2 linked regions of the Arabidopsis thaliana genome follow. Each later gene encodes a partner of the first gene's protein in a complex. Each region holds a gene or a part of one and is shown on either strand. Other genes may lie near its edges.

The links.
Region 2: VRN5 (region 1) and MSI1 share a complex: the UniProt entries of both Arabidopsis thaliana proteins name them as parts of the plant homeodomain / polycomb repressive complex.

Annotation. Positions count from the first base shown.
Region 1 is NC_003074.8:8,875,256-8,880,248, forward strand, and holds VRN5 (Fibronectin type III domain-containing protein), read right to left. Parts: upstream 3,227-4,993; 5' UTR 2,917-3,226; coding exon 2,492-2,916; intron 2,413-2,491; coding exon 2,120-2,412; intron 2,043-2,119; coding exon 952-2,042; 3' UTR 529-951; downstream 1-528. UniProt on the Arabidopsis thaliana protein: Involved in both the vernalization and photoperiod pathways by regulating expression of the related floral repressors FLOWERING LOCUS C (FLC) and FLOWERING LOCUS M (FLM).
Region 2 is NC_003076.8:23,554,350-23,558,778, forward strand, and holds MSI1 (Transducin/WD40 repeat-like superfamily protein), read left to right. Parts: upstream 1-1,662; 5' UTR 1,663-1,762; coding exon 1,763-2,107; intron 2,108-2,210; coding exon 2,211-2,537; intron 2,538-2,702; coding exon 2,703-2,855; intron 2,856-2,992; coding exon 2,993-3,117; intron 3,118-3,229; coding exon 3,230-3,325; intron 3,326-3,416; coding exon 3,417-3,645; 3' UTR 3,646-3,896; downstream 3,897-4,429. Other genes in the region: TTL (transthyretin-like protein), read right to left, coding at 197-630, 807-963, 1,049-1,150, 1,231-1,512; FHIT (FRAGILE HISTIDINE TRIAD), read right to left, coding at 4,000-4,119, 4,192-4,290, 4,393-4,429. UniProt on the Arabidopsis thaliana protein: Core histone-binding subunit that may target chromatin assembly factors, chromatin remodeling factors and histone deacetylases to their histone substrates in a manner that is regulated by nucleosomal DNA.

The DNA of each region.
Region 1 (4,993 bases):
TAACTAATACGTAAGATATAAGATTATGACAAGAACTTAACCAAACTTTACAATAACATCAAGTTGAATATGATTAGATTGGATATGCAGAGACATGATTAATAAAGACATGTTATATTTTTAATGTAAAAAACAAATTTTCTAAAATTTCACCGTCTCACAAACTAAATATATAACCAAAAGAACAAAGATATATAAATTAAAAAAAAAACTGAGAATCTAAAACAACAATAAAAAACAACTCAAGCACTTTCGTTTTCAGATGAACTAATATAGTTGGACTTTTTGAAAACAATTACAAATCATATTTATGTTTCAAAATCGATGCATTCAACTTTACTTTATATGAACAGACATTATATAAAACAATTTGTAAATAGTAATACATAAACCCGCACGTAGTGCGGGTATTCATCTAGTTATTAATGAAACAAACTACCCCTCAAGTAAGGAATCTTAACAACAACATCCCCAACTAAATAATCAATGAAAACACCCTCAAATAATGGTTACTCAAACAAAAAAATCCTGAACTTTCTATTTTGGTTTGTTGAAAATAACATTTTTTGCATAAAAACAATAACAGATGTAATCATTTGAAAATCTGAAACGATCAATCAATATAACCAAGATATTGTTTTAGAAGTTGATGAAATTGACACTTTACACGAGTTAGTACACAACAGAGCGAATGGTTCGCAGGACCTCTTTAGATATGAACAGAAACAAGGAACAGAGGCAAAATACTCTCCCTAAGGAGATTTTTTAAAATATTATTATGTCAAATCCTAAATCTAAACCCCAATCCAAAGAGATTTGCAATGTGGTCAATCCTGTGGTCCAAATTGATGATAAATAGCCGAATCCACGTTAGAGAAATCATGGACTATTTAGTTCTAATCATATTATTCATACTAAGAAAGAATGTGGTTGAATCAATGGGAAGCTTGATCAATGTGAGGTCATTACTCCATTGTTTGGCCTTTTGGTGGAGACAACATCAGTAAATGCGTCGACAAGTTGGCCAGCAAGGCTACCTGGATCATCCTCTAAAGTCTGCACAAATGTGCTCACAACAGATTGCTCCTGAGCGGTTGAGCTCATGCTGAACCATGTCAAGAACCTGACCCTGAATGTTGTTTTAATGTGGCCTTCACGCTCCAGCCACCTGATCACCTTCACACATTTCTCAAGAGTGTCATCAATCGACGAACTGTCACACTCGTGGTTCTCTGAGTCATTACTGTCTGAAATTGCTTTCCTCTTCCTGGTCATGAGGAAATCAAATCCGGTATCATCACCACTTCCATCTGATATAACCAAGCAGTCGTTGTTGTTCTTCCGTCTACCGTTAGACACAGCATCATCACAGTTATCATCATGATCACCACCATCAGCCTCAGCAAGCGAATTTAGCGGCACTCCATTGTCTTCACCTCCAGAAGAATCAGGTGGAGTGAACTCCTCATTCAAGTCTGGCACTGAAACTACATTTAGATCAAACCCATGTGGCCTTCGAGGTGGCAATTCTTCCTCTGGCGGCTCACAAATTTTCTCAGTATCTACATTGTAAAACGCTTCAAGCAAGCCTTCCTCCTGAGCTTCAGCCAACTGCACATACTTCCCAAGTTGCCCAATTTGAAATCTTGAGGAAATGCTACTTTTCTCCTCTCTATCTGAGGGCTGAGCGTTACCTACTAAATCAATTGTTCTCTTTTCCTTACCATCCACTGGTTTCAATATCTCAACGCTCTTCGTAAAGCACATAGCGTTCGAATGGCCAAATATACCAGCTTCTGTGTAAGAGACAACACGGAATGTGTACTCCGTGCAAGGCTCAAGGTCAGATATCACCATCCTCCTCTCAGTTCTACTGCAATCAACAAATAAATCATCCTCAGGCATCTCTCCTTTCTTGAAATACCATAACTTGTAACCCTTAACATCATATTCTACAGCACTAGGTAGCTCAATCAGACGAAGAGTCACTTGCTTTGGTGCAATATCTTCGAAATGAAACCTGCACGCAGCTGGAACTAAATCTGCAAAAACATATATGAACTTATTTCATTACTCTCTCTTTCAGATTCATTGCAATAAACATATCTCCAATACTAACCTCTACCTGCATTGGCTGACAACTCCCCTGCCTTTTTAATTGCAGAAGTGCAAAGCTCTTGCACATTAGCTGCAACAGGAAGCCTACTAACAATGCCTCTATCAGTTCTAGCAGTAGGTCCATCAAGAGGTCCAACTTCATCCTCCAGCATAGACTTAGCAGCTCTAACAATCTCATGCAATTCACTAAACCGACTAGTCCCATTCAACAGTCTATAACCCAAATCTATTCTATAACACAGTCCATCACGTCGTCGTGCTTCCTTTGCTGCCACAAGCTGCTTTTTCCAACATCTTCATAAACACACACGCACATTGAGTTATACAAAGCCAATTACAGCAATCAAACAAAGAGTAAAGGAAGAAATTTTACCCAAGAATTTGAGAAACTTTGCCACATGAGTAGCAACAAAAACAACCATCAAGCTTCATCAGATTCCCAAGAGCAATAACACCAACTTTGACTTCTCGAAAAGCACACTCAATGTGACACGATAAGCCACAGAACTCAACATCATCAGATTTCTCAGGCTCACAAACTAACCAAAGACTAGGATCCTTGTTTTCATCGAAATTATGACAAACACAACAAGAACATCTCTTGCAAAAGGAATCTTCTTTAGGCACATTAGCTCTACACGATGCATTCTTGCAGATCCATGATGATCTCAAACACCCACCACCACCATCGACGTCTTGTTGTTGTTGTTGTTTCCCATTTGATTCGTGCTTCTTGTTTGACTTTTTGTTCGTCTTGCGTGAATGTGAGATCTTCGATTTCGTCGATGATGAATCCATACTTGCTCAGAAAGAAAAAATTAAAGTCTTTGTAGCTCTTCTTCTTCACAGATGTCTTCGTCGAGAAACAAGGATTGTTTCGTCTTTTTTGATTCAATGTCGAAATTGAGAAACATGGTTCGGTGATTGAGATTACGGAGGAGTTTTCAGGTGGCTGTAGATTTAGGCGTCGCCTGAGAAAACATTGCCGCGGCGGCTGAAATTTGGGGGAAAGAGAGAGGAAGGAGATGAAAGTTAGAGATTCTAGGGTACACGTGTCATTTGTTTTTTTGTTTTTTTATAACATGTATCATATTGGGCCTATTTCTTTAAAGGGCCTCCATTTTCTTAGTTTCGAGATTTTAGGGACAAAAAAAGGGAAGAACACAATTCATGGTTTTAAAATCAAAACCGAATTTTTGGAATATCGGAGTGGTTCTAAATTTCTCAATCCGAATCCTTGTATCCGAATATCGGAGTGTCCATAACTAGTAAATATTTACACACATGTAAATTTTATACATATATAAAAGTATAAAACTAAGCAAATTCGTATATTATATAAATTAAACTAAACACATTCCTATATCATTTTTTCAGTTTAATAATTACGGTTAGGTTCCAGTTTGGCCAATTGAGCCACATAACATAATTATTATATGAGGATATTATTTTTATATAATTAGTATTTTTTATTTAGTTGTCTTTTATTATTTTATCATGGTCTCTTAAAACAAATTTTCATTTTTTCTCAAACAAAAAAAAAAAGAAAAAGAAAAATAGTGAATGTCGAAGGTGGCGATAGGAACGAAGAAGGGGGGAACAACAGAGAAGATATCTTAAGAAAACCAGCGACTTGGTCTTCTACTTGTTCTTCTACTATGGAGAGATTGATACTGCTGGTATATTAGTGAAAACTTTTGGAAGCCTTTTCGATACAGAAAAACAGATTTTTTAATATGCAATGTAAATTAGTCTTTTCGTATTCTACAAAAAATATAGATCCCATAAAAAAAAATTCACAGTAAAAAAATTAGTTTGATTATGTTAGTCATGTATTGATTTTAAGTATGGACACTAACACACATAAACTTTATGAAAAATCATTATGGTTTATACTGAATGTGAGACGGATTTAGAAGATGCAAATAAGTGAATTAACAAAGTTGTACTAAAAGATATATGTTCTTGATAAAAGAGTGAATATTACGTGCAATAATATGGAATCCATAAAATGAGCTGATCCATTTCATAGCTAGATTAGGTAAACGAGGCAACGTATCAGGCTATAACATAGAGGGGGCTCCTATGGTCCACACTCTGCACGACCAAGTAACTATGTACTGACTGATTTTGTAAAATACTTCAGAATCCAATATTATAAACAAGTTTTTAACCAAATCAATATTCTAAGTTAAGATGTATAACGAGTTAATTTAAAATTCAGATTCGTGGTCAAACTTATAAACTTATTATTAGACTTTGAGGACTATCAGAACTAATTATAAAACTTAAGCATGTGCATGTATTTACTATTTAGTGAGGACTGATTATAAATTTCATATTAAACTTGGTAACGACAACCACTTGGTGTTAGTATAAACGTATCATTTAATGAAATATAGGGATATAAAAGTATTTGTGGAATAAAAACACATAAAATTTGATAAGAATTCTCACATCAAAATAAAATATGAATTTAAATATATCAAAAGGATTTTATCCGTTTATTATTGATTGGGTTTGAGTTGAAAACTCATCATAAACCTTGATATGGATTAATTAAAGTGATCTAAAATGAATATAACTAATCTAGCTAATTTAGAATTTGGTCTCAATGAATTAGTTAACAATAGTCATCATTTCAGTGAAGTGTTCGTCATATGATTATTATCGTTTTGAATGTATGGAGAAAAGAAAAGCATCCCCACTAATTTGTATATATGACAAACGAGATAGATTCAAAATGTTACAAAATAGAGTGGAATTGAACAAAACAAAAAAGGGATATAGATTAGAGATTCAGAGAAAATAGATGCATGCATGTGTATGTACGCAAAATTAGATAATGACAATAATATAACATGAAAGATGGAGA
Region 2 (4,429 bases), on another chromosome or scaffold:
TTTTCGCTAATTCATTGTTTGTTCTACAGAACTACAAATCCAAATAAATACTCGAATAGACATTATTTCATAGCAATTTTTATACATGTCGAATAAAGACTTCATTTCATAGCAATTTTGATACATGTTCCCGTAGTGGTACAACCAAAACAAAATGTGTTGGAAAGTTGGTGCCGCAGACAGCAGTAGCATAGCTCTAGCTCCCACGGTATGTGGAGAAAGAAAAAGGTGCAAGCAACAGTGGGACATGGAAATGCTCCCATTTCTGTGATTCTGTAACCTGAAATACAATGGAAACATAGGGAAAGAAGCAGCCTGGGGAATACTTTGCAGTGTCGAAGCTAATCCTATATGTCCCTGGATTCAAAGCGTCAACCAAATCCATCAGTGGCCCACTGCGCCCATCTCTATCAGTAGCTGATGTGCCCACACTGGACCAGACCCCACCACCTCCATGAACAAAGGAAGGACCGGTAGTACCACTCCACACTTCTAAGTGCACTTCAACACCTGCAGCTGGAGCACCACGTGAGACGTCTAAGACATGAGTCGTGATCGGTGGCCTACTTCTCTTGGGAGCTTTTGCTTCAGCTGCAACATTCAAATGCCCTCCAATGATTCTCAGACGATCTTACAAAGCGAGAAAGTAGAAAAGGTCACACAGATAACAAAGATAGCCATAAGGGTAAATCCTTGTATTCCAAAAGACACATACTTGATATCATACTGAATCCTAACAGGTTCAAACCCACACAGTCAAACACAAAACTTTGACAAGGAAAAGATTTGGTAAATCATCAATATACCTTGAGGTTTTGTTGAAACAGGAGAGCTAGAGCTGTCAGTTTCTGATATAACTTTAGCCTTATCGGAGAACAGCTTTGCCATTCGTAGCTCTGTTATTTTCATTTGTTCCATAGCAGCAATCTCAAGCTCCACTATTGGCCTATTTTCATACCTTTCCTGAAAAAGAGACGATTTGATGAATATGTAACTTTCTCATTCACTCACACTCAACAAAAACTGATTTGGAAATGCAAAAGTTGACCTTTAACGCATGGAGCATCTCAGCGTGAGTCCTGCCAGAAGCGCAAATAATGAAGATAAAGCCAAACTTCTTTTTGTAAAGTACATTCCATTCGGCAAGCTCCTAAGAAATTGAAAACAATTGATCATCAGAAGAAGAAATCACTGAAGAGATGAAGGAAAAAAAAAGTGAAGATCCATCACCTGTAAAGCAGAAGCAGAAGTTGTGGCAAAGGCGGTTGACTGTTCTGATACGCTCCGACGAGCAAAATCGGAGTTGATAGAAGGTGAAGGAGTATTCCCAATCTGAGGATGAGCAGAGAAAGCTTCAAGCCAATCTGTCACATTAACTTGGTTGAACCAGATGTCTCTTGCAGTATATATTGCTTCTTGAGAAGTTAACGGTCCAGACGTAGACATCTGCTTCGCGAATTCGGAGCTTCCACAGCAAACCTTCCATTCATCTTCTCCGATCTCCATCGCCATTTTTTCTCTCTTTTCTCCAATCCTCACTTCTGTTGACTGGTGTAAGATCAAAAGTCATCTAATTGGGCCTTTTCATAAACGGGCTTTTCAAAAATGGGCCTTTTCTTTATCTTCTTCCTTTTTTTATTCATCATCTTCTATATGTGAATTATTCAGAAACAGAAGCGAGAAGTTTCTTACAATTTGTAAAGAGATCTGTTTTAGGGTTTTGCCTTGTTCTTGTGGCGGGAATAACAAAGACATCGCCGATATGGGGAAAGACGAAGAGGAAATGCGAGGTGAGATCGAGGAGCGACTAATCAATGAAGAGTACAAGATCTGGAAGAAGAACACTCCTTTCCTCTACGATCTCGTTATTACTCACGCTCTCGAGTGGCCTTCACTTACTGTTGAATGGCTTCCTGACCGTGAAGAACCTTCCGGTAAAGACTACTCCGTTCAGAAGATGATTCTCGGTACCCATACCTCCGAGAGCGAGCCCAATTACTTGATGCTAGCCCAAGTTCAGCTTCCTCTTGACGATACCGAGAGTGAAGCTCGTCAGTACGATGATGACCGCTCTGAATTTGGTGGCTTTGGCTGTGCAACTGGAAAGGTGCGATTTTTTATTTTTGTTTCTCATTTCCAACTTTCTAGATTTGATTCTAGGGTTATAACGAGGTAAAGGATGATAAATGTTAGTTTGATTGCTTGTGTAGGTACAAATTATCCAGCAGATAAATCATGATGGTGAGGTTAATCGAGCTCGCTATATGCCTCAAAACCCTTTCATAATTGCTACCAAGACAGTTAATGCGGAGGTCTATGTTTTCGATTACAGTAAGCATCCATCTAAGCCTCCTCTTGATGGGGCTTGTAATCCTGATTTAAAGCTTAGAGGTCACAGCTCTGAGGGATATGGTCTCTCTTGGAGTAAGTTCAAGCAGGGTCATTTGCTTAGTGGCTCTGATGATGCTCAGATCTGCTTGTGGGATATTAACGCTACTCCTAAAAACAAATCTCTGGACGCTCAGCAGATTTTTAAGGTAATGCTTTGGATTTCTATTCGTTTTTAGTTTTGTTTTGTATCATCTAGAAAGGAAGGAATTGCACCCACTTAACGGAATCAGTTACACTTATGAAAGCTCATAGATAGATATTCAGGTTGGTTTCTGTGTTTTCCTTGCTGATGATTATTTTCTGAACTTAAGGCTCATGAAGGGGTTGTGGAAGATGTTGCATGGCATCTGAGACATGAGTACCTGTTTGGATCAGTTGGAGATGACCAATACCTTCTCATATGGGATCTGCGTTCTCCATCTGCCAGTAAACCAGTACAGTCTGTGGTTGCTCATTCGATGGAGGTGAGTTTGCAATATATTAGCTTTAGATACAGATAATACTTCTGGTTTTTAAGCTTGCTTTCCTTAACACTAAAAACCATTGAATCATATTGCCTCGTATGTATTTGCTAATTGTTGAGTTGTTTGAAATGCCTTAGGTTAACTGCTTAGCCTTCAATCCATTTAATGAGTGGGTTGTGGCAACAGGATCAACTGACAAGACTGTTAAATTATTCGATCTACGGAAGCTAAGCACCGCTCTTCACACATTTGATAGCCACAAGTAAGAATGATACGCCATAAATATTGCCGCTTTGAGATGGATTTTGTGTTACTAAGAAGTATTTACAAGTTACAGCAACATCACTAACCTTAATTATGTGCTTGATCTCCAGAGAGGAGGTTTTTCAAGTTGGTTGGAACCCAAAGAACGAGACTATTTTAGCTTCATGTTGCCTTGGTAGAAGACTTATGGTTTGGGACCTTAGCAGGTTTGGGCCGTAGACTTTAGTTCTTTAGTTTAATGTTCATGTATGGTCATGGAGGAGCAATATTGATATGTTTGAGGGTGTCTTATGATAGGATCGATGAGGAACAGACAGTGGAGGACGCAGAAGACGGCCCACCTGAGCTGCTGTTTATTCACGGTGGTCACACTAGCAAAATTTCAGATTTCTCGTGGAACCCTTGTGAAGATTGGGTTATTTCCAGTGTTGCTGAGGACAACATACTCCAAATATGGCAAATGGCTGAAAACATCTATCATGATGAGGATGACGCTCCAGGGGAAGAACCATCAAAAGCTTCTTAGCTTGTTATTTAGTATCCAAAGCGCACTGATCTTATGGGACAGTATTTATTTATACATCTCTGCTATTGTTTAGTTCAAGTATTTAGTGTTCATTGTGTAAAATGAGGCATGAGAGGATGGTAGCAAGTGGGAATTTTTCTTTATAACATGAAGGAGTTGATTCTAATCTCACTAAGTAGTGTCAACCAAAGCTATAACTCTTAGTTTATACCCAGATTGGGCGACATTAGAAAGAAATTACAAATTTGAATCAAAGTCTCTGACATAAAATTTCAAACTGAAAGTCACTTGTCACAATGGTCCTTATTAAAGCTACTGGATAGCTTGGTTTGATTTGATATTGATAAATGATAACTAGCAATCGAAAAGAGATCTGTATTGGGAAGCCTCGTCAGCCATCTCCTGAATGCTCCTATCAACCCGGTCTTTATCTAGATCAAGCTTCTGCTTCAGTTCCTTCTCCTTCTCATCAAGCTACAAGAAGATACCACCATAAGATTTGTATAAAACCAAAGCTAGGAATGTGATCAAAATGCAACAACTTACAGCATCATAGATTTCATCATTCTTCTCAAAGTCACCACCTTTACGAGGCAAGATATGAATGTGTACATGGGGAACAGTCTGTCCCGCTTGAGGGCCATCCTAAGCCATTTTCATGAAACCAAAGTTAGATCGTTTCAATTCCAATCCATTAAGATTTAGACGCAAGAAACAATGACGAAAGAAAGGAGATGTTTAGTTTACTTGGATGGCTAATGTGAGAGAAGACGCATTATGGAAG